6 linked regions of the Oryctolagus cuniculus genome follow. The protein of the gene in region 4 interacts with the protein of the main gene of each other region in a pairwise test. Links are inferred from orthologs where the notes say so. Each region holds a gene or a part of one and is shown on either strand. Other genes may lie near its edges. The genes, in order: TSGA10, NTAQ1, PPM1K, BIRC2, NMB and HSP90B1.

What was found.
Region 1: the proteins of BIRC2 (region 4) and TSGA10 interact in binary tests that used the Homo sapiens proteins (3 or more experiments, as listed by UniProt). The two-hybrid records come from large-scale screens. The link is inferred for Oryctolagus cuniculus from reciprocal best matches to the Homo sapiens genes BIRC2 and TSGA10.
Region 2: the proteins of BIRC2 (region 4) and NTAQ1 interact in binary tests that used the Homo sapiens proteins (3 or more experiments, as listed by UniProt). The two-hybrid records come from large-scale screens. The link is inferred for Oryctolagus cuniculus from reciprocal best matches to the Homo sapiens genes BIRC2 and NTAQ1.
Region 3: the proteins of BIRC2 (region 4) and PPM1K interact in binary tests that used the Homo sapiens proteins (3 or more experiments, as listed by UniProt). The two-hybrid records come from large-scale screens. The link is inferred for Oryctolagus cuniculus from reciprocal best matches to the Homo sapiens genes BIRC2 and PPM1K.
Region 5: the proteins of BIRC2 (region 4) and NMB interact in binary tests that used the Homo sapiens proteins (3 or more experiments, as listed by UniProt). The two-hybrid records come from large-scale screens. The link is inferred for Oryctolagus cuniculus from reciprocal best matches to the Homo sapiens genes BIRC2 and NMB.
Region 6: the proteins of BIRC2 (region 4) and HSP90B1 come close enough for resonance energy transfer, tested with the Homo sapiens proteins (2 studies listed by BioGRID). The link is inferred for Oryctolagus cuniculus from reciprocal best matches to the Homo sapiens genes BIRC2 and HSP90B1.

What each region holds. Positions count from the first base shown.
Region 1 is NC_091433.1:109,420,699-109,424,198, forward strand, and holds part of TSGA10 (testis-specific gene 10 protein), read left to right. Parts: intron 1-1,921; coding exon 1,922-2,124; intron 2,125-3,500. UniProt on the Homo sapiens protein: Plays a role in spermatogenesis. When overexpressed, prevents nuclear localization of HIF1A.
Region 2 is NC_091437.1:149,142,023-149,145,522, forward strand, and holds part of NTAQ1 (protein N-terminal glutamine amidohydrolase), read left to right. Parts: intron 1-2,511; coding exon 2,512-2,611; intron 2,612-3,500. UniProt on the Homo sapiens protein: Mediates the side-chain deamidation of N-terminal glutamine residues to glutamate, an important step in N-end rule pathway of protein degradation.
Region 3 is NC_091439.1:77,349,559-77,353,798, forward strand, and holds the start of PPM1K (protein phosphatase Mn(2+)-dependent 1K), read left to right. Parts: upstream 1-1,440; 5' UTR 1,441-1,834; exon of another isoform or gene 1,835-2,128; intron 2,129-2,321; exon of another isoform or gene 2,322-2,922; intron 2,923-3,101; exon of another isoform or gene 3,102-3,240; intron 3,241-3,830; exon of another isoform or gene 3,831-3,937; intron 3,938-4,240. UniProt on the Homo sapiens protein: Serine/threonine-protein phosphatase component of macronutrients metabolism.
Region 4 is NC_091432.1:94,082,147-94,085,646, forward strand, and holds part of BIRC2 (baculoviral IAP repeat-containing protein 2), read left to right. Parts: intron 1-42; coding exon 43-121; intron 122-781; coding exon 782-830; intron 831-3,500. UniProt on the Homo sapiens protein: Multi-functional protein which regulates not only caspases and apoptosis, but also modulates inflammatory signaling and immunity, mitogenic kinase signaling, and cell proliferation, as well as cell invasion and metastasis.
Region 5 is NC_091443.1:100,947,895-100,952,165, reverse strand, and holds NMB (neuromedin-B), read left to right. Parts: upstream 1-1,471; 5' UTR 1,472-1,542; coding exon 1,543-1,699; intron 1,700-2,209; coding exon 2,210-2,382; intron 2,383-3,898; coding exon 3,899-3,934; 3' UTR 3,935-4,144; downstream 4,145-4,271. UniProt on the Homo sapiens protein: Stimulates smooth muscle contraction. Induces sighing by acting directly on the pre-Botzinger complex, a cluster of several thousand neurons in the ventrolateral medulla responsible for inspiration during respiratory activity.
Region 6 is NC_091442.1:106,766,848-106,770,944, reverse strand, and holds the start of HSP90B1 (endoplasmin), read right to left. Parts: upstream 2,801-4,097; 5' UTR 1,961-2,800; coding exon 1,912-1,960; intron 1,256-1,911; coding exon 1,153-1,255; intron 630-1,152; coding exon 488-629; intron 37-487; coding exon 1-36.

The sequences.
Region 1 (3,500 bases), on a different chromosome or scaffold from region 4:
CAAAGCGAAACACTGATATCTGCTAAAACATTGATGACTCTTGAAACCATTATGCTAAATGAGGAAAACCAGCCACAGAAAGATCACACAAACAGTATTTGATTCCATTTGTTTGAAATTTGCAGAATAAGACAAGTCACAGAGAGAAAAAGTAAGTTAGGGATTGCCTAGGACCAGGGAGGGTAGGGCAAAGTAGCTGCTAATGGGTGCTAAGGTTTTTGGGTGAATGATGAAAAAGTTCTTAACATTAGATAGTTACAATGATTACACAGCTCTTTCAATATGTTAAAAAAAAAACATTGAGTTATTATGAAACTGTTACCAAAAAAAGTCATGCTCCATTTTGTACTGCTGCTAGAAAATATGGCATCGCCATTGCACAGCTTAGTGTTCGTCCAACACAAGCTAAAAATATTTGCCAGTTTGATAGATTAGAAAAGTGTCACCGGTTCAACCATGGAGTATTTTTGCTTCCCAGTAGATATTTATTTATTTATTTTTTACAGGCAGAGTGGACAGTGAGAGAGAGAGAGAGACATCGAGAAAGGTCTTCCTTTTTGCTGTTGGTTCACCCTCCAATGGCCTCCAAGGCCGGCGCACTGCGCTGATCCGAAGCCAGGAGCCAGGTACTTATCCTGGTCTCCCATGGTGTGCAGGGCCCAAGCACTTGGGCCATCCTCCACTGCACTCCCGGGCCACAGCAGAGAGCTGGCCTGGAAGAGGGCCAACCGGGACAGAATCCAGTGCCCCAACCGGGACTAGAACCCGGTGTGCCGGCACTGCAAGGCGGAGGATTAGCCTATTGAGCCGCGGCGCCAGCCTTAGCAATGTCTTGATACGTTTTTGATTGTCCTGACTAGGATAGGGAATCCTAGTGGAATCAAGAGGGAAGAAACCAGGAATATAGCCAACTATCCTATCATGCGTAAGGTAGTCCCTCACACCAAGTAATTAACCAACCCAAAATGTCAGTAGTTACTAGAGAAGAAACTCTGTACAAGAAATAGCACCTTATTTTAATTTGTATTTTTTGTATTACTAGTAAGGATCATTTTTTTCCATTTCATTGTATATCATAAATTTCGTATAATTAGTTGATATTTCTCATCAACTTGTCTGTATTCTTCATATTAGTAAAGATATTAACTATGTACTGTGTTTATTTATTACAGCTATTTTCTTTCAAATTTTGGTCATGTTTCTATTGACTTAAAATATTTGATCAAATTTTTAAGATTTTTGTGTTGTATCTTAGTTCTACTATATACCTATCCACTCCCACCTCCTGTAATTTCATTTTTACTCATTTTCTTTACTGGAATTTTAAGCCTTTCACATTTAAATTTTTTATGCATGTAGAATTTATTATAATATATATTTTGAGGTATGGAATAACTTTTTCCAAATGATAATGACTGGTCTTTCTCCATTTGAAGAAACATGTGGCTTACAGAGTATAATTTAGACTCAAAATAACCTTCAGAAAGGAAGCTCTTCACAGGTTTACACAAGAGAGCAAATGTGCCATTCCTCCTTATATTCCTTAACTTAGAGTGCAGTACATTCCTTCAGATAGGTGTTTGGAACTCACCTAGCTCAGGGCAAAGTCACAGAGATCACCATGTCAGCCTGTCAGCCTTGTAGAAACATAACATAAATATAGAAGCTAGGAATGGAAATTGGTTACAGTTGGGGTTAATATGCCTTTACTTAATGAATTTTGTGATAGGAGCTGAGAGATGGAGAAAGTGATATTATACATGTATGTGTGGTGTGTGTATTTGGTAAGAAGGCAGATAAAATTTCATTAAGTGATTTATCAGTTTATAACATGATACAACAATTTTTATGAATTCCTGATAATATACCAGTTACATGAATGAATGGGGATAAGTGTAGATGTCTTCATATTGTTATACAGATGGAGAATGAGTTAGATTCTGCTCGTTCTGAAATAGAACTCCTCAGGAGTCAAATGACAAATGAGAGGATCTCCATGCAGAATCTAGAAGCTTTGCTGGTGGCCAACCGAGACAAAGAGTATCAGTCTCAGATAGCACTACAAGAAAAAGAATCTGAAATTCAGCTTCTTAAGGAACACCTTTGTTTGGCAGAAAATAAAATGTGAGTTGTTTAGCAATATAATAACAGAAAGTCGTGTTTTTAATTTTCTGGTGCATTTATCGATTACAATTTTAAAGCTACAATGTAGAGAATTTCATTCCCATGATTTGCCATTAATTAACCTGGGTTCAGAAATACTATGATTTGCCTAAGACTTAGTATTCATTTTTATTTTGTTTTATATAAATTTGAGTTTAGCAGTCTCTATTCATTGTTTCCATCAGAGTTTTGGATATCATAGAATGTCAGATCTAAAATACTGCCTTTAAAAATATAATCAGATTAGAAAAGCAATTAAGCACTCTGAAACCAGCAGAGTTTTACATGTCTGGACCCTTCTGCCATTGCTATCTAGTCTTTCCATTTTTCACCTAGTATTTCTTTATGTTCCCGAGGCTATTGGAAGAACTACACTCACTTCCCCAGAACATGATTTGGGGTTGTGTTTGTAACCCCTAGCTTCACTAGTACTTTATTAGAAGACCCCTGGCTGAGGAATGGGTGGAAATACCTATTTGATTATAAACATTTTATGATTAAACTTGGTCACCTCACAGAAACTGAAAATAGGTCTTTGTACAAATAAAGAATGGGAATGGGAGAGGGAGGAGAAAGAAGGGTTGGAGCGTTGGCGGGAGGGAGGAGAGGGTGGGAATCATCTATGTGTTCCTAAATCTGTACATAGGAAATACATGAAACTTGTATTAAATAAAATTTTTTAAAAAGAAAAAAAACTGAGGCAGACTCTTAGCTTCTGTCCTTATTTGTCCCATCCATAATACTTTTTTGCTCTGCCCTCACGTCCATGCCTGAGACCTTGCAAAGGACAGAGATTGTGACCTCAGACACCAGTCACTCCTAGAAGCCCCTAAGGCTGCAGACTCAGGACCAGTTTCCTTCTGAAACTGCTTTCAGGTCATGGTAGCCATGACTGAGCCACTCCTTTTGGTTCCTGGAGCTGGGCTGTTGTGGTTCTTTCAGCTGGTTCTGCAGGATCACTTTCTCAAGCTGGTAGGTAGAAATCCACTTTTGTGAAGGATGCCAAAACTCCCGCGCCAGGAGGGACACTCTGTACCTGGCTGATGAGTACTATCACTAAGAGATGGTTAGCATGATGAACTTGTGCTCTCAGTCCCTGAGTTAACATTTCAGCAGTCTGTGCTGCTGTCCTGATAGCAGGCCCAGAGGGCAGAATGTTCTGTGCCAGCAGCCTTCATCTCTCATCAGTCTCCTTATGAAGTTGTACCTTATTACAGGGTTTTGAGGCCTCGTTTACCCTTAAGGAAGATCCTGTTAAGTTGAAGAGTTTTTGTTTCTAACTGTATGTATATAAATTTCATTCTGGCCAGTGCCGCGGCTCACTAGGCTAATCCTTC
Region 2 (3,500 bases), on a different chromosome or scaffold from region 4:
AGTAAAATGGGAGAAATAGGAATGCCCGGAGATAGAGAAATAGAGAAATAGAAAGGCCTCCCCTCAACATGGCAACGAGAAAGTTTGGATTCGGTCTGCCTGATTAAGTGAGGCGATGAGCACGATGAGCACCTGCGGCGGTTAGCAGCTTATGCGCCGCAGGTCACCGAAGACAGGCACGAATTAACATCAGTAAGGCCTCCCCACAAAAAGGCAATGAGAAGGCTTGGATTCGGTTTGCCTGATAGAGCTTGTAAGCCCCTGCAGGCAGAGCAGAGCATGCGCTGCGGGGCACCGAACACAGGCACGCATCAGCGCCTAAAAACCTCCTCATAACATGGCGAAGAGAGGACCCGGATTCGGTTTGCCTGATAGGACTTGTAAGAGCCTGTGGCAACTCTAGCAAGTAGAGCAGAGTGTGTGCCGCGGGACACCGAAGACAGGCGCGTATCAACGCCAAAAATAAAAAGAAAGGGGGATCTGTGGGGAGCAATCCGGACTAGACTAAGTTACTCGAATTAAGACTTATTCTATGCATCTGCTCTCCCACAATATGGCGCTGGGAGAGAAGTAAACAGCTTCCGCACAGCTGCCTCCAGTTCAACTAATAAACTGTAGGACTTGCTCCTGATTGGAGAGCAGCGTACTCGGCGTGTGGGCAGCCGAGTTAGGATTGGCGGGAGAGGACTATAAAGGAGGAGAGAGACGGCACGCACCAGGAACATCTATGGGGAACATCTAAGGGAACCCGTGCAGCCCCCGAGAGAACCGGCCGGCGGTGTGCCGCTCCCCTGCGGAAGTGGGGAATGTGGCCAGGGGGAACTGCCCTTCCACGGAGGTGGAAGGGATAGTAGCCAACCCGGGAAGAACCAGCAGCAAACCCGGGGAGGGCCGAGCAGACGAAAGAACAGCGCAGGGTCCTGTGTCGTTCCTCCATGAAGAGGGGGAGCGACAGAGAGAGAGAGAGATCTTCCATCCACTGGTTCACTCCCCAAATGGCCATAATGGCCTGGGCTGGGCCAGGCCGAAGCCAGGAGCCTAAGGTCCCCTCTGTGTCTCCCACGTGGGTGCAGGGGCAGAAACAATTGGGCCATCCTATACTTCTTTCCCAGAAACACTGGCAGGGAGCTGGCTCGGAAGGAGAGAAAGCTTTCTAAAAGTTAAGGCCTCCTCCTTACTTTAGGGGATTGGGGAATCCCACGCACAGGGGCTTTCTCCAGAATCCCTGGACAAACCACATAACGTCTCCTGAGCCTTTCCAGCTAGGAGCCCTCCTGCCCCTTTCCTAAAGGGAGCAAAGAACCAGGGGTAACTCACATTCATTGCATGTTTACAATATGATGTGATTATGTCCACTTTACAGTTAGGTAGATTCTCAGAGGAGTTGAGATGTTCACAGCCTCTTACCTTGTAAGTGGCTGAATTGGATTTCCAGCTGTGTGGTTTTTTTTTTGTTTTTTTTTTTCCTTGACAGGCAGGTGATGACAGTGAGAGAGAGAGACAGAGAGAAAGGTCTTCCTTTGCCGTTGGTTCACCCTCCAATGGCCGCCGCGGCCAGCGCGCTGCAACCAGCGCACCGCGCCGATCCGATGGCAGGAGCCAGGTACTTATCCTGGTCTCCCATGCGGGTGCAGGGCCCAAGGACTTGGGCCATCCTCCACTGCACTCCCTGGCCACAGCAGAGAGCTGGCCTGGAAGAGGGGCAACCGGGACAGAATCCGGTGCCCCAACCGGGACTAGAACCCGGTGTGCCGGCACCGCAAGGTGGAGGATTAGCCTAGTGAGCTGCGGCGCCGGCCAACAGCTGTGTTTCAAGTATTCAGATCTAAAGCTTATAGGATATTAAAGCATTTTATCCATTTTAAAATATGCAGACACTGTTGTGGGAGGCAGTGAGCTCTGGAAAAAGTGTCCACACGCAGTGTAGATAACAACTTGTTAGGAAATTTTTTTTTAATTTTCCAAACATATTTCTAATTAGACCTCAAAATACACTTCATTTTTAAAAGGACAGCGTGATTTATTTATTTATTTCTTTTTTAGATTTTATTTATTTACTTGAGAGGTAGAGTTATAGGCAGAGAGAAAGGTCTTCTGTCTTCTGGTACACTCCCAGATGGCTGCAACAGCCGGAGTTGGGCCAATCCAAAGCCAGGAACAGGAACTTCTTCCAGGTCTTCCATGCGTTTTGGGGGCCCAAGGACTTGGGCCATCTTCTACTGCCTTCTCAGGCCACAGCAGAGAGCTGGATTGGAAGAGGAGCAGCCAAGACTTAAACCTGTGTCCATATGGGATTCCGGTGCTGCAGGTGGAGGCTTAGCCTACTTTGCCACAGCACCAGCCCTTAGGAATGTTTTAGAGGAGATTGAAATGTCAGGCAGTTGTTGGATGAGATGATGTGTAAGGGCTCTTCTAATTTTTTGATGTCATCATCAGTCTTTTGTTCAAATCTGAAAAGCATACAGAGTGCTCTCTTTTAATTATATTGATCAAACAATTATTTTGTTTCAGTGAAGAAAATATTTGGAAGCTCTGTGAACACATCAAGAACCATGACCAGTACCCTTTGGAAGAGTGTTACGCTGTCTTCATATCTAATGAGAGAAAGATGGTAAGTTGGTGAATGATTGCAGAAAGGAAACACACCAGAAGCTAAATATAGCATGAGTTTAGTACTGTTCTGAAATGTGCTTTATAAAAGACAGTGACATTTTAAAGTTTGTTTTTGAATGAGATCTTTTTCCTTATAGGGCACAGTTGAGTTAGAAGAGTTTAGTCCCTTTTATGTAAGGAAATATGTGATTGTGTATTTACACAGGTTAAGAAAGGCCCCTTTCTTAGTTCTTTCTTAGTTACTAACAAAGAATTTTTTTTTTTTTTTTGGTAAACATGATGCTTTTTAACTCTGTCTTCTGAACCCATAAAAAGCATTAATTACCGTGTTACTGAGAGAATGCTAAATATAGACTCTAAAGAATGTGAAGCCCGCATTTGGGGATATGTGATCACAAATAAGAAGATATAGTACATAATAAACTTCCACATATTACCCAATACTAAAGCAGCTTTGTAATTTAAAGAGATTTCAGAGACCCGTTGCCAGAGTAACCATGACCATTAACATTAGACAATGAAAAGGCAGAGCAGGTAAAACACTGATGTGGGAATTCCATTTTCAGTATCACGGCAGGAAAGTTGTCCAGAATGGCCATCCTCCTTAAAGTTACAAGCCGTTGAATAAAATATGGAGAAAGAATCTTATACAAAGCATATAAAATCTAGCAATATAGTAATTATTAAACTGTTATCATAATATGCACATACAGAGGTAAATGTTGAACGAAAGCTGCTTCTGCTCTAAAGATATTGCTGAACCAACAGAATGTTAGTTCTGGTTTTCACAGTCTTCTAGAGTGCAAGAGTCAACTACAAATCCCAGAATCTACCAAAATCAGGGATTAAAATTCTAGATGCCCCACCCAGAAAGTTGAGAGCAAAGA
Region 3 (4,240 bases), on a different chromosome or scaffold from region 4:
GCTCCAAACTGGAAATCATCTTAATTTCCATCAGAAGAATAAATTTATAAATTCTAGTATATTCGCAGAATGGAATTCAATGACCTACAACTGTCCACAACAGTACGCAAAAATCTCACAAAATAATGAAGCCAAATATAAAAGAATGCATACTTAATTGTTTTATACCAAGTAGAAAGAGAGGTAAAATTAATCTACGTTGTTGAAAGTCATCATAGACGCTACTCTTGGAAGGAGGAAGAAACCGGAAGGTAGTCTGTTAGAGTTTTCAGAAGTTAAAAAAAAAAAGTGTTTCTTGATTGAGTTCTGGATAAAGATGTATTCAGACCGTGAACACTCCTTGTGTTGTATACACTTGTGATGTATGTACTTTTCTATATGTGTATTATATTTTAGCAAAAGCATAAAAAGAAATCCAGGACATCCATGAAAAGTGACTGTCAATCCGACACAGAAATCCTCAAAGTCACTACCAGAATTTGTGAGCGGTGGAAGAATCACCTTCTAAGCAGAGTATTAAGTGCACTGGACTCCCTGCACCAGCCTGCACCAGAACCCTGAAATGCCAAGATAAGTAAACCCTTTACATTTAAAATCTCTAATCTCCTCTTTTCTCTACTCCCAGTGATATCTGTCTGGTTTTTAACCCATGTCATTTCTCACCTTGAACCTCGCCAGCCGTCCTCTCCTAACCAGTCTACCACCAGCCCAGCCTCCCTGTTCTCACATTAACCAAAGCGGTTCACTCCTCTGCTGCTGCCCTCTGCTCCCTCACTAGGCAGGAGCCACACCGACCTCCTTCTGCGCTTCCAGAACCTCAGGGCCTTTGCTCGGCTGTCCCCACCGCCCAGAGAGGCCGCCACTCCGCTCGTTCCACGGCCTGACTACCTGACTTCCTCTCTCTGTGAGACGCAGCCCACACGCCATCTTACAAGGTTCTCACACAAATATCCCCTACCCACCCGGAGTCAACCCCAGTATCCGCTATGTTCACGCCTTGTCTGTGTCGTTTCTGGACACGGTTCACTAATGTTCCACCCTTGTGTACTTGTCGGGTTTCTCCCTTGCCTTCCTAACCAGACCGCAGACGCCACCGAGGCAGCTAACATGAGTGTGTGGGGCAGGACTGTAGGGCCGGCGCCTCGCGGGGGCCTGGCATCCCGAAGGTCCTTCACCCCCTCCCCTCAAAGGGAACTCAAGATGCTTGTTGGCCACGACGAACGCTGCGCTGCGAATTTTTCAAGGCAGAGGCAGTGAAACCCCAAGCCCTTCCAGCTAAGCGTAGGCATTCCTGGCCTCGGTCCCCGAGCTGTCACAACCACCGCCCCCTCACGACACACTCGGCTTCTCCACCCGCTGGCCGGTCACCAAGCGTCTCGTCCCCACCCACCGTCCAGGCGCGCCCCATCTTTGGCCGGTGCGCCTACCTCAGGAGGGTGGGGCGCCTCCTCGAGCAGCTACTGGCCGACGTAGACGTCGCTCTACCGCGCGCGGCTGCCAGTCGGCGCAGTCAAATCGCAGCGGCGGGGAGGCTCGTTCCCAGCGGTAGTTGTGATTGGCTAAGGTGGAGGGCCGACGCGCCGCCTCGCCAAGTGCGATTGGCCGGAGCTGCCGTCAGTCAGCGGGAACACTTCCCTTCGCTCCCTCTGGCCCGCAGCTGGTGAAACATTTTCGAGAATTTCCAGCAGACGAAGCAGTGAGTGGTGCTTTCGATTGCTTGCTCCGGAGATCGCAAGACAAAGGAGACGGCAATCTTATTTAACGAGCACGAAAGCCCCTGCACTGCCCTCCGTTAGCTCATTGAAACACTTCCAAGGGACATAGCCATCGGGAGGTAAGAGCCCGGAGGGTGCCATTCATTTATTTCTGCCCACCGTTTATAATATTACTTATTGGCGGCCCAGGGGATGAAGAGTAAGAGGAGAACGACTCCCTGGTTTCACCTCTTCAGCCTCCGAGCCCCTACGGTCGGTCTCCGGCAGCTGTTTTCTTCCCTTTCCAGGTCAAGAGCGGTTTTTTTTTTTTTTTTTTTTCAGGGTGGGGCACACCCTGGCAGCGCTGCGGGAAGCGGGCGAAGGGCTCCTTCCCCGATCGCGCTCGGCCTTGAACTTGACCGCGAGCCGGCCAGGTGAGGGGGCCGCCACGCGTGCTCTGTGCGACCCGCCGGCGAGGATGCTGCAGGGGTCGGTGCCACGGGGACGCCCCGGGATCAGCGAGGCGGGGAGGCCGGGGTGCAGCTGTTGGCGGGGCGGGGGCGCGAGGCTGTGTGTGCTGCCAGGCGTCCAGCAGGGCGAGCCATCCAGCCCCGGGCGGGCGCGGCCGGAGGCCAGGAGGCCGGTGCCGAGAAGGATGCCCTACTTGGTTTGATGGCAGGACAGGGTGGCAGTTTGGACGGGACGGCGCTGTCATCCCAGGCCCTGCGGCTGTGGTGATGCCTTTTTAGCAGACGCTTTTTGTAGATGCCGGAATTCGCAGGCGGTGACCAAAACGAGGCTAAAGATAAGAGGATGGGGGAGTGTGGGGGCTCTCTGGGGCTGCACCGGGCTTTGTGAGCTTCGGGCCGGAAATATGCAGCCCGGCCTGGTCTTTGCTCAGCGCTCTTCGTCCGCCAGGGCAGGGGGAAAGAGCGAGGCTTTCTGGCGGCTTCAGAGTGAGCCATTAAAGGAGAGCGGCCGGTGGCCAACGTCTGAGGGAACGAAAGCGGTGCGCGGTGCCGCCGTGGCCGGAAGAGGAGCGGCGCGCGCGCGTTGTGTGTCTGTCGCCGAGTGTGGTGCCCATTGTGTGGTGAAATGGCTCCGGGGCGCTGGGTTCTCTCGATGCCTCTTTCTTGCAGCCTGAGCCGCTTTTCTGCGGATGCCGGCGGAACACGCCGCACCTCCCGTGCCTGGGGACTCTGAGGAGAGCCGGGCCGGGGCCCATGAGGTGGGATGTTGGGATAGAAGGGAAAGGAACGTTCTGAGGTTCCAGGTTGGGAACGTGGTCTGTGACTTGGGGACCTCATGAAGGCAGATGTTTGCAAAGGCAGCGAGGGCATTTTAGGTAGGAAGGGTTCCGCAGCTCTGTGTGCTGTCCGCCCTATTCACACATGTCAACATGGACTTCTCTCCCGCAGCTAGCCTGGTACCATGTCTTTCCTTTCCTCCTAGCGGGATACGGGTAAAGAAGGCATAGAGTCCAAATTTGCTGAGATACATTCTGGAGATTTCCATCCTATTTGAAGTGTTCAGAATGCTCTGGTTGCTTTTTAAGGAGTGTTGAGAAAGAAATAGTTAGCTTAAGAATATTAATTGGTTAGTTAATTACCTTGGGTAATTTTTCAATTGTGGAAGTTACCACTTTATAGTACCACTTTATAGTAATAGGCAGATAGGCATTGTTTTTTAAAGATTTTTTTTTCTAGAAGAATACAACCTAAGCAGGTTTTAATAGTGCCAATCCTTAGAACTCCTGGAAATTTTGGCATGGGCTTAAAATGACAGCAATGAACTGCCCTTTTGACCTGGCTTTCGGTGCTGAAGTGCGGTTAAACCTCAAATCCCTGTGCACCCTCCTGCCAGACACACAGTGCCTCCTGTTTCCAAAAATAAATTTGGACAGCCTAGGGTGTTTAAACCATGGAGGAATTCTAAAGTGGGAGCAAGAAGAAAACATAAAATTGGCAAAGCAAATTTGTAGCTGTGTAGTTGCCTTTTTTCACTGCTTCCTTTTACTTTTAAATGAGGGATATAGTTCAAAAGTTTTTTGCAAACCAAATGCATTTTTTTTTCCATCCTAATGCTTTTGACCTGGGGCTTCCCACTCCTGAGATGAGGTTTGTCGCCAGTACTCACTGAGCATCTCTATGCATGCCTTCATGGTCTTGCAGTTTCTTCCCATTTAAACCTCTCTGCTGAGGTTCCCCTTGTCAGTCAGTCGGGATGGTTAAACAAACTGTTTCCTAGCCACAGGAGGAGGAAGATGGGAAAGGCATGGTTACACAAATCAGTATGGAAATGGTGAAAAGAAAAGGTTTTTTTCCCCCTAATATTGATGGATTTATTTAGTTGGGAGGCAGAGCCGTAGACACACACACACACACACACACAGAGCGACACAGATACACAGGGGAGAGAGAGAGACAGACAGAAAGAGAGCCTCCATTTGCTGGTTCATTCTTCCCAAATGGCTGCAACAACTGGGACAGGGCCAGGCTGAAGGTAGGAGCCGGGAACTCCATCCAGGTCTTCCACATGGATGGCAG
Region 4 (3,500 bases):
ATAAATAAAAGTTGAAACAATATTTTTCATCTTATGTTTTAGGTGTGAATTCTTGATACGCATGAAAGGGCAGGAGTTTGTTGATGAGATTCAAGCTAGATTTCCTCATCTTCTTGAACAGGTAAATATACTTTTTAAAAGTTAACAATATTGGATTCTACTGTATGATAATTTGACAGCCAGGCCAAAGCCAAGAACCAGGAACTTATGTGTGGGTGGCAGAGGCCCAACCACTTGGGCCATTTTCTGCTTTCCCATGTATTAGCAGGGAGCTGGATTAGAAATGGGGCAGCCAGGACTCAAATCGGTGCTCATATCAGATGCCAGCATTGCAGATGGTGGCTTAACTTGCTGTATCAAAATACTTTAATTTTTACTTTTGTATCCAATGTATTTGGTGAGGGCTTTCAAAAAAGATTCTTTTGAAAAAAATATCTTGTCACTGTACACATTTATGGTAGGGTTGGAGAAGGATCTTTCATCCTTTTACAGAAATTAACTTATTAGCAATTGAGACCTCTTGAGAGTAACCCATTCAAATGGAGTAAGAAACCATTTATATATTTTCCTACTTTGTTGAAATGGAAGATAATACCTGAATTCTAGTTTGGAAGTAGGGTAAGTTTAAGGAAACCTGTCCTATAGTTAGGATAAAACAAAGCAAAGTGAAGTGTATAAATTACCCAGTTTCGAGTATGTACAATTACTTAGGGTAAACTTAGTGTTCCTCTTTTCAGATTGAGATTTCTGATTTTACCTATTAGCTTTTCTTGTTTTATAGTTGTTGTCAACTTCAGACCCCCCTGGAGAAGAAAATGCTGATCCACCAAGTAAGTGTGAAATATTATTATTAGTGTAGAATGGGAATGTATATAATAATGTGAGGAATGAAAATATATTCTTAAAAAAAGAGATTCTGAAGTTACAGAGAAAAATACTGGGAAGTTAACTGGTAAACCTTAGGTACATACAAAGATTAATGGTATTTTGGGGATTCTAGAAAGTTTATATAGTTTAGTGCTGACATCTCAACAGGGGAGAAAAGACAGATGCAAAAGAAAAACAAATAGCTCAAAGCAATGTCAATAAGAATTGAAAATAATAAGCCCTCCTAAAGAGGAAAAGGTTGCTGTGAGCCAGCATGGTTTGGAAAAAGCCTGGTTCACATGATTTAAGAAGTGGCTTATATATTAGATATTTAGGTCAGGTATATAGTATTTCAATAATCTCTTTTGATTAGAATTTAGTTTTAGCCTATTGGTCTATTAGTTGATGTTCAGAATGTACATTTGAGGGTGGCTCACAAAGTTTCTGGAAAATGTAATTAAGAGATAATTTTACCGCAAAAGAAAAATGGAAACCTTTGCTTACAGAAGTCTTAAACTATCATAGAAAATGCATATTGTGAAACTGCAGATACAGTTGAGTTCTTTGTCCTTTTTAGGACTCCTTCTTTAGCTTCTCAGATGCCCCCAGACAATTGGTATTCTCCCATTTTCCTTTGCTCACTGCTCCTTTTTCAAACTTCAGTGGTCATTGCAAATTTATTTCTTCATTTCCCAAGACCCAGGCTGGAATGTCCAGCTCTCTGTTTAATTCTGTCTTTGGCTATGATAGAATTCTGAGTTAATAGGACCAAAACAAAATTTTCTCCTAATCCTTTATTCCTCAAGTTTGCTTCTCCTTGGGCTTCTCCATTTCAGTTAATGATACTCATTTGCTAAGATAAAAAAGATGCATCATCTCAGATTCCTCTCCTTTCTTTAGTCTGTATATGAGCAATTTTTTTTTTCTGCCTTCATAACACATCCCTCTCACTATTTCTCACCATCACCACTATCACCGTATTCAGATTGCCATCATCTTTTGTCATAGTAATAGGTTTCCCGGATGCCACTTTTACCTGATTTAAAGTCCATTTCCACAGAGCTGCTAGAGTTATCTTTTGAAAATACAAGTCACATTTTATCAGAGCTATGTTAAAAGCCTCCTAGACTATTCTAGCAAACTTAGAATAAAATATGAACACTTTGTAAAGCTCTCCATCTGGACGTTGTCCTCCCTTCCGTCCTTCTACCACCTTCCTTCTCTTCCTTGAACACGTGAAGGTTTTCCCTTGTTTTATGGCTTTTATACTTGTTATTCTCTTGCCTGCAAGACGTCTCATATATTTCCACAGCTTACTCTTTATTACTGTTTTAAATCTCTGGGTGTTCTCTTCCTCTCTCTTCTTTTTTTAAAGATTTTATTTTTATTTGAGAGTTACAGAGAGGAAGAGGCCGGCACTGTGGCTCACTAGGCTAATCCTCCGCGTGCAGCGCTGGTACTCTGGGTTCTGTCCCAGTTGCTCCTCTTCCAGTCCAGCTCTCTGCTGTGGCCCGGGAGTGCAGTGGAGGATGGCCCAGGTGCTTGGGCCCTGCACCCACATGGGAGACCTGGAGGAAGCACCCGGCTCCTGGCTACAGATCGGCGCAGTGTGCCGGCCGTAGCAACCATTTTGGGGGGTGAACCAACAGAAGGAAGACCTTTCTCTCTGTCTCTCTCTCTCACTGTCTAACTTTGCCTGTCAAAAAAAAAAAAAAGAAGAGGAAGAGACAGATCTTCCATCTGCTGGTTCACTCCTCAGATGGCTGCAACTGGCTGAAGCTAGGAGCCTAGAGCTTCTTCCAGGTCTCACAAGTCGGTAGAGGGGCTCATGAACTTGAGTCATCCTCCGTTGCTTTTCCCAGGTGAATTAGCAGGGAGCTGGATTGGAAGTGGAGTTGCTGGAACTCTAACCAGCACCCACATGGATGCTGGCTCACAGGCTGCAGCTTTACTCGCTATACCACAATTCTGGCCCCACTGAGTGTTCTCTTCAGACAGGGAGTCCACATAATGTCTTGGCAGTGTCGCACATAGCACTCATGTTGTTTTTTATTAATGTTTGTTATAACAACTTTCCAGCAGATGGCACTAAAGTGTCTTGAAGAATTAGGTCCACAGTTTTCACAAAACTGCCATATAGGCTAGCTTTGATGCTGTTATCAGAAAATGCTTCCCTGACCATTCTTATTTAAAATGCCCTCCAGGCTCTGAGTTTCTTGAATTAGTTTTTACTTTGGAGAGCACATGTCTCCATCTAAAACTATGGTTGTTTAACCATAGTTTTCACTGCACATTTAGATATGTTACAGGTGTAATACTCTTCCATTTTCTGTACTTCCCATTTTTATTTTCTCTGTCTCAGCTATCCACCCAACTAGGCCCTGTCCAGGCTTCAAATCCAAGCTCCAGTGTTACCTTTTCCATGAAGTCATTTTTATTTCCCCTGTCTTCCTAGCTGGAGACAATTTATAAATTCTAAGTTTGTACATGTTGCTGGTTTTCAAAAATGATTATCCATCAGAATCATTTGGGGAATTTAAAAAATTTAAAGATTCCTAAGCCTTATCCCTAAAGAGTTTGTTAATAAGTAGGTCTAAGATGTATCTTGGGAACTGATATTTTTAAAAAGTGTA
Region 5 (4,271 bases), on a different chromosome or scaffold from region 4:
CTGCAGGAGTGAAACCTAAAATGCGGCGCCCACTCGCCCACGCCACGGAGGTCTGAACCTGACTGGCTGTTGCAGTGGGGCGGAGGCGGTGTGCTTTAGGGAAGTCGGTGCCTGCCCTGAAGTCTGATTCCAGGCCGAGTGCCAACCCCTCTGAGCCTGCTTCTACCTAAACGTGAGAAAGCAAAACTTACCAAAGATTGCTTGGAGCATGTAAGTGAGGCAGCACTCACCAAATACCAGCTCCTGTGTGTTGTAGACCAGAGACCACAGGATGGGGGCGAGAGGGATGCAGAGGAAAGGGAGGGGTCGCAGAGGGAATGGTTATTATGGGAAGGTGAGGAGAGCTATATCTGTACAGCATGGCTAAGCTGTGACAAGAAAGCAGAGAGGTGCAACTGCCAGAGTGGGGGTGAGAAGCAGGAAGACAGGGCAGAAAGCCAGGCCGGAAATGGAGTGTCCCCATACCGTGTGTCACACGCTCCTGGAAGCTGAGCCCGACGCCCAGCTCCTTGGGCAAACGGCTCTCTCAGGGACGGATCTGAGCTGCATACAGGCAAAAGTAGTAAGAGCGGTGCGGTTGCTGAGCCAGCCAGGAGCAGGTTCTGGCACAGCCGCCTGTGCATCGTTCCAGGGACGGGTCCCTGTGGCTGGGCCACAGCCTCTGCATCCTTCGCTCTCAGCGGGTCTCCCGTGGCTGAGCCACAGCCTCTGCATCATTCACTCTCAGTGGGTCTCCCATGGCTGGGCCACAGCCTCTCCATCATCCGCTCTGTGCACCGTGCCCCACAGAGAGCTTCGTCTCCCCCTCCTGGGCCTAGCACAGTGCTCAGCCAGCACTTAGCAGAAATCAGCGGCGCTCTCCTGGAGCACCACGCCTTCCCCCGCTCCCGAAGCCGTGCACTGCTGCAGTTCTTTGCCCGGCAAGGCCGGCAGCGCCTTGGAGGACCACAGGGCTGCTGGGGAGGGCAGCTCCTGGGAGGCTGCTGCTGGCTGGCACAAGATAGGTGTGCTGCCAAGTGTAGAATTATTACAAATAGGGCAGTGCAGTTATTACCAACGTCCTTTCATATGGACTTATGATCCAGTGCTCTCTCCACTCCGACCTGCTCTGCCTCCTGCCCAACTCCACATCCCAGCACAGAACCTTGGTAAAGCACCCGGGGACACAGGTCCAGTGCCCCGAGAGGGAAGGGGTGATGGAGCTCATCTGGTGCCTGGCAATGCTAACCAGGACTGTTGAAGTGCCTGAGTCGCCCAGGCGCGGCTCTGAAAGCCGGTGGAGCGGCCACGGGGTCCCGGGAGTTCCTCTGGGCTTCCCGACCCCTGCTCTCCGCGTGCCGGGACCTCAGCGTGAGGGCGTGGGCTCGGGCAGTTCACTCTGGACCGCCGCCTGAAGGGTCCTGCGGGCGGCGGCGGTGGCGGCGGCGGCGGCGGCGGCGGGGCGGGCTCGGGCTCCGCGGGGGCAGGCTCCGCCTCCGGAGGCGCGGGTTTAAAGCCGGGAAGGCGAGGAGCGCCGGAGCCAGCCGCCGCCGCCGCACAGCCATGGGCCGGCGGCCGGGGGGCGCTCAGCCGCTGGGCGGCCTCCTGCTGCTCGCCCTGCTCGCTGCCGGCGTGGCCCCGCTCAGCTGGGATCTCCCGGAGCCCCGCGGCAGAGCTGCCAAGATCCGAGTGCACCCGCGGGGCAACCTCTGGGCCACCGGTGAGTCTTCGGGGCAGCGGGCGCCCCTCACCCTGCTCTGATTCCCCCTGCAGCCCCTCGTCCTGGGGACTGCAGGGAGCAGCTGGGCCCCTTGGGCTCCTCCCGTTCAGTAGAGGGGAACTTGACACGCACACAGGTGAGCGCGCAGGGGCAGGGCTGGCCTGGGGCCCAGATCTGCCTGCCAAGTGCTGCTCCTTCCCTCGGGCTTGGATTTGTGCATCCTCCAGGCTCTGGCGTATCTCCTTCCCTGCCCTCCCCTCCCTGTGCTCGGCCATGCAGGCGGCAGGACGGACAGTTTTCCCCAGTTGCTGGGCCCCCTTCTGCACTGGTTCTGGAAGAGCCGAGGTGCTGGGCCTTGCCACACCCAGACACCTCGGTGGGTCTTGGTGAGGAGGGGGAAGGTGGTGTCTTCCTGCTGCGAGAGCCAACTATGGGAGTGATGGGGAACTTCCCCGCTGGGGTAGAATCCTCACTCCCTGGCTTCCTTGGGCCTCGACACCTCCTTTCCAGGTCACTTCATGGGCAAGAAGAGTCTGGAGCCCCCCAGCCCATTCCCACTGGGGACCACTCCCCCCACCGCCGTGAGGGCCCAGAGACTGCAGCTGAGTCATGATCTGCTCCGGATCCTCCTGCTAAAGAAAGCTCTGGGCCTGAGCCTCAGCGGCCCAGCAGCCCAGACCCAGGTGAGCCAGGCCCCACCCCAGCCAGGACCAGGAGAGCTCAGCCAGGGCCCGCCCCTTGGTCCAGCATGGAGGAGCTGTCATTGCCATGGGGTATCATGGCCTGGCCAGGGCGAGGTGGGTGTGGAGAGCCGGGAAGAAGGAATGCCGGGTTATCCCTCTATCCCAGGGCTCAAAGAGCAGGGCACTGGCCAAGGGAAGCTGACCCTCCCTGCAGACCCCATGGCACAAGCCCCCCCACTCATCACCCAGTCCAAGGTCAGACAAGGAGCAGACAGCCACTAGCAGCAGGACCTGTCCCCCAGGCCCAACAGCCTTGTCCCACTCCATCGGCCCCTGCTCTTTTGGCCACATCCATCCTTACTGCGCCCTGCATGTGCTGTGGCTGGAGCTGGGACCCTGAGTGCCTGCTTCTGTAGCCAGCGGCAGGGCTTGGGCCGTGCACGGCAGTGTCCGTCGCTGATCACCACCCGACACATGCTAGCAGAACCCCCCACCCCAGATTGTGACAGGCGGACAGGCCCCCAGCCTGTCACCAGATGTCCTCGGGGGTGGGGGGAGGGAGGAAGGTGCCCTAATCATTCTCGGTTATAATCCACTGACCTATGCAGTTCAGTCCCAAACTAAAGCCAAGCCAGCCACAGTGTCTGGTCTGGTTGAGCAGCTTCTCTGCTCCCTGCTCCTGGTGCTGTCCCACTGTGCACTACGGTGCCCCGGGCTCGTGGCTGTGTGCAGAAGGTGGGCTCTGGCCAGGTGAGCCCTCCTGACCCAGCTGCTTAGTAGCTGTGTGACCTCAGAAATCTCAGCCTCCTCCCCCTCATCCGTAAGTGGAGAGGGTAATGGGCCCATCTCTCACTGAGTGAGACCATTTATGTCATGCGCCCAGCGCGATGCTAGTATGTAGACAGCCCTGGGTAAGTGGGGGCTGTTAGCCGTCTGGGAGCTCCGGGCAGTGCCTGCTGCTGTCCCCTTCGCATCCTCACTGTGCCTTGCATAGGGTGTGTACATTATGGAAAGAGGGAATGGCATTCCCTGGGGAAGGTTCAACCTCAGCCCCAGCCAACACCCCTGACTCCTGAAACACTGAAGGCCCCCAGCCCTCCTCAGATGTGACGGCTAAGGGTCTGAAGGGGAACCGTGTCACCCGCAGGGCTTGCAGCACGAGAATCTCAGGGGCAGCACACCTGGCCGGGAGCAGGTGGGACATCAGTGGGGCCTGGGCCGGAGCTGGGGACGGGAGGGTCAGGACACTGACACTGGGTGGTGCCAAGCACTGGGATCTGACTTCACATTCCCCCTTAGAGTGTGGCGACTGTGCTGTGAGGTTGGGGCTATAACTCTCAGGACACCACGGCCGGTGACTCCTTCCCGGGCCCTTCAGGGAGAGCCGTGCTAGGGGTCCTGCCCTGCCCACCTCTGCAGGTGCCTGGCACTTAGGAGTGGCAGGAGGCTCCATTCGTGGGCGGCGCCGCGCCCCCACCCCGCCTTGCCAGATCAACTCTTCTGTGTTTTCATTCAGTACAGGAGGCTTCCGGTGCAAATACTGCAGAAGTGATGCCAGCAGCAGCTCACCTTAGACTGTGCCGGCCCGGGGGAGGTGGCAGTGCCGCCTGGATGTAAATGCTGGGCGCCAGTCCGTCTCTGCACGGCTGGGATTCCTGACGGGGTCGCCAGAGCTGGCGGGACGCACACGAGGTTATATCCCTGCTGTATCGGTTGCTCCCCTGTTGAAGCTGTGAATAAAAACCCTGCTCTTCACACAGAATGCGTGGTCCTCTCCTTCCAGCTAGGTTTGAGGGAGGGCGGGAGAGGGGCCGGGAGACAGACGGGGCTGGAGCACTTGGCGCCATGGCCCAGCCTGGCACTGACTCCTGCTCAATCAAGCTACGCCT
Region 6 (4,097 bases), on a different chromosome or scaffold from region 4:
ATCTGAAGCATTTGAAATCAGTTCTCTCAGGAAAATCTAAATGGAAGGCAGATTTGATAGTTACATTAGACACATAGGACACTGAATTTAATGTCGACTCTTCCTGTCTCCTCTGTACCTTGAAAAAGCACTCTTTAAGGAAAAAGTCTTCTCAGGGTGGCTCTGCTCACTGGTACAAGGAGGATTAGCTCCTATACACGGGACTGTTACAACTATAAGGATATCTGGACTGGAAGGAGAATTAAACACCACCCTGATTTTCCAGTAGGAAGTCCACGAAGCTTAGCGGACTGTTCAGCAGGCCACGGCCCTGCTTGCAGGGTAGAGGACAAAGGGGAAACGTCTAACAGTCGTCCTGGCTGCACAGGTTGGTATTTCAGTTTCACTGTTCACCTGTGATTACTATTTCTTAAATGTATTTAACTGCGAAAGTAAACAAGTATGCCAATCCACAAAACAAAGTATCACCCTAACCCAGGCTGCTTACCTCTTTATTTTTATACAATGAATTGATGATAAGTTTCATCATCCTGTTAACTTCAGCTTGGAAGGCAAACTTCTCAGATTTCTCTCTAAGTTCTCGTATTTGGGATGCATTGAGTCCATCCAACTGAATGGCTTCTTCCTCTCTAAGGAAATCAGGTAGGCAAATACGGCATGCTTAGTACCTTTAAAAACACAGCCTCTGTGCTGACGGCTCAAGTGGCCCCTGAAGACTGTCCTGAGGGTTAGACGGGTAAACGGAAGCCTTCCAAGACGACCACCAAGTACCAGCTCCTCTGCTCCCAGAGGGTCACGCCGAGATTCTTAAATTGCCCAACTTGACCAAGGAGCAGTCATACCCATACCCACACTGCTCCACGGCAGAGACTCCACTGACAGAAACCCGTCAGAAAACCAGTCAGTGCACGCACTCGGCGAGTGCAAACCCCACTGCAAGTCTTCTCTCAGGCCTTACAAAGCTCAAGGGGCCAGCACTCTGCACGGCAAGTCAGCAAAACAGTTTTCAAAGGAATTCATCCAAAGCTCACGCTAAGGGACTCTTAGATAATGCGTTACACCTCGCTCCTGCTAACACTTTCCTGCCCAATGTGGGAGCATTAGCTTTAATGGGGATCCCTGGAGCCCGCGGCGCTGCCGACCAGCACGGACCTCTGTACGACCTCGTCGTCCGTCCTCGACCCTTCCCTGCTCTTCCCCAGATCCTCTTCCACGGTGCCGTCCACGTCCACCTCGTCGTCGGCCCGGGCCGAGCCTGGGGGACAGCGAACACGGTCACACAGGGCAAGGGCAGGGATTGCGAAACACGCGCGGTGCACGGGGGAGGGGGAGGCGGGCCTTGCGCGGCGCCCCCACGGAGCCCCCGCGACTCGCGTGGCTCAGGGCCCCCGCCACACGTGCTGCGCGCCGCCGCGCGGGGCTCCCAAGCAGACCAAAGCCCAAATCCCGGCCTGCCCCGGCCCGGGTCACAACACGAACCAGATTCGTGCAGCCTCTGGCGAGGGGGCTTGCAATCGGGCCTGGACCCGCTGACCCCGCCGACGTCTAAGAACGGAAGCGCGCGCACGACGGAAGCCCGGAGCGGGGCGGGGGCTCCCCAGGCTGTGGCTGCGGACCGGAGCCCTCCGGGAGGGCAGCCGGGGAAGGCAGAGCCCAAGGGAGGCCCCGCCCGGGGCGGCCCCGACCGCCGGGCGCGGACCCACGCGGGCTGCGGGGGATTTAAACGACTCCGTCCTTTCTTTTCTTCCCAGAGCAGCAAGAGCGCCAACGTAGTCCCCTCGGCCTCTTTCGAGGAAAGGCGATGGCCCCGCTGGCCCGCCGCGGGCCCTGGTACCCCTCCCCAACGCCCCCAGAACCTTCGAGAAGCGGCCGCGCCGGGGGGGGGGGTGTCCGGGCTCCAGGATCACTCACCGAAGGTCAGCAGGACGCAGCAGAGGCCCAGCACCCACAGGGCCCTCATGGCGCGCGGCCGGCGGGTATCAGGTCCCTTTTGATCGCAGGAGCCGCCTCCACCCCTCCACCCCAAGCTCCGAGCCTCACACCTCAGGCCGCGCGGTCCGCCCACTACACCGCAAGCAGGTCAGGCCGCTTTTCACCCCCACTGCCCGCGGGCGGGGGACGGGAAACACGAATCCACCAATCGCACCGCACCACGCACCCCAGGCACCCAATGGGGACTCGCGGGGGGGACCACAGTCCGCCAATAGGAGCTGTCCAGGTGCGGTGCCCGATGCCCGAAGCGTGGCTCCCTCCGATTGGGCATGGGTAACAGCTTTTGTCCAATCACATACCTCCGCGGGCCCCTCGCACGCGGAACCGCCCCTTTGCCTGGGAAGCCTTAGCATCTAGAGGAAATCGTCCAATGAACGTAAGCTCCACACACGTCCGTCCTTTTTTGAGAGGTCGCGGAGGAAACACTTCCGGATCCTAGAGAGCGTGTATTCCGTGACCAGGGGAAACGGTAGCCATGACAACGGGTTCTTCACACTTTGGCGTCTACACCCGGGATCCCGTTGGGACCGAATCCAGCGCGACTTCCAAGTCACCTTTCTATTTGTCAGTGCTTCTCGGAGAAGCAATACGTGAGAGATTGAAACCCCCCTGAAGGCTTTCGGGTGGCTTGTTGGTGGTGAAGAAACTACATTTCCCGGCATGCCACACACCGAGGGTACGCCGTGTTGGATGCTGGGAATCGTAGTTTTTTCCTCGCGGGCTATAGCTGCGCAGTTTGGGTCTCTTCTCCCCCACTCTCCTCGCGTGTCTTTGCGGGAACTCCGTCCTGCACGTTTTCGAATTCACATCTCGTTCTGACCGCAGTAGAGATTCGTGCGTGTTGCAGGACCCCGCAGCGGACGCGCTTTCAGAAGTCGCCGCGCTTCGGCGGAGGCCGCCTCCGGCTCGGGAACGGCGGTTTCCCAATCTGGCTGCGCGTGCGTCACCGGGCACCCCAGTCTTCCTCGCGCCTGCCTGATGTGGTTTAGGGCAGGGGGCGGCGTGGGTTTCCCCCGCTCTCCTGAGGTAAACTTTGGGCGACCCGGGCAGCCCGCGAGCCCTCGCTGCAAGTCGGCGGGAGAGCACGGGGCCGCCCGGGTTTGCATAGAAAAGGAACGCCCCGCCTGCAGGAGCGCACACCTGCCAGTATTTGAAAGCAAAACCTTTCGTGGGTGGGGGAGTGGGGACAAGATAGCAGCTTTGTAACTTCGTAGAAATACCCCGGCCGCCCTCAGGGCGACGTGAAACCCCAGGTGTCTCTCCGCGGAAGTCGCCCACAGGTCTCTGGCGCCTTGGGACCACCTCTCCCGCTGCCCCTAGCCGGGCCCCTCTCCCTCGCTGCTCCCTCCTTGTTTTCGGGAGATCCTCCGCATTCCTTGAAGACCGGCTTCCGCTACTCCCACTCTGAACTCTGGTTGACACCTGCGCCTCGCGGGGCTCCTTATTGCTCCGCTTTTGTTCCTAGTAAGCAAAAGTAGCTTACGAAGCAGGTTTTACGCTTCTGTGCTGGCATTTTTTTTTTAAAGTCTACTAGAGTGTGCATCGCATTCAGAAATCTCAAGGGTATTTCGTTGTGTTTTCACTGATTTTTTGGTCGTAGAAAATGGGTTCTTCCTCTCTTCTGGGCTTCACAGCTCAGCTCCTTCACCTTTCTCTCTACTTCTGAGCAGTCCTGAAACTGCAAAAGCCATGTGACCGGGCAGTTCGCGCTGCACCTGGAGGGAACCGAGAGTGAAATAGAGCCGCTGCGAGTGCCTGGATGTTTGTGCAGATGCTGAGAATTCACGAGGGGGCAGAGCCGCAGGCTGTGGGCTGGCCACGGCGAGACTGCCTGGGCTCTGCCGTGCTCCTAGGGGTGCGCAAGAGCGGCTTCGGGCCCAGCCTCGCCCCCTCGGGCGGTCTTCCCGCCTCTCTGACTCCTAACGGCTACCCATCCCCATTCCTGCCCTGTGCGGCTCCTCCAGAACGGGCCCTCCCCGCCTTTGGAGCTGATCTCTTGATTCTTCCTGTGGTGCATTTCCATGGATACCTTTGTTGTGGTTGCTGCTAAGCTTCCGCGTAAGCACCGCTCAGCCCAGGAGGCAGTGACCTACCTTGTGTTCCGA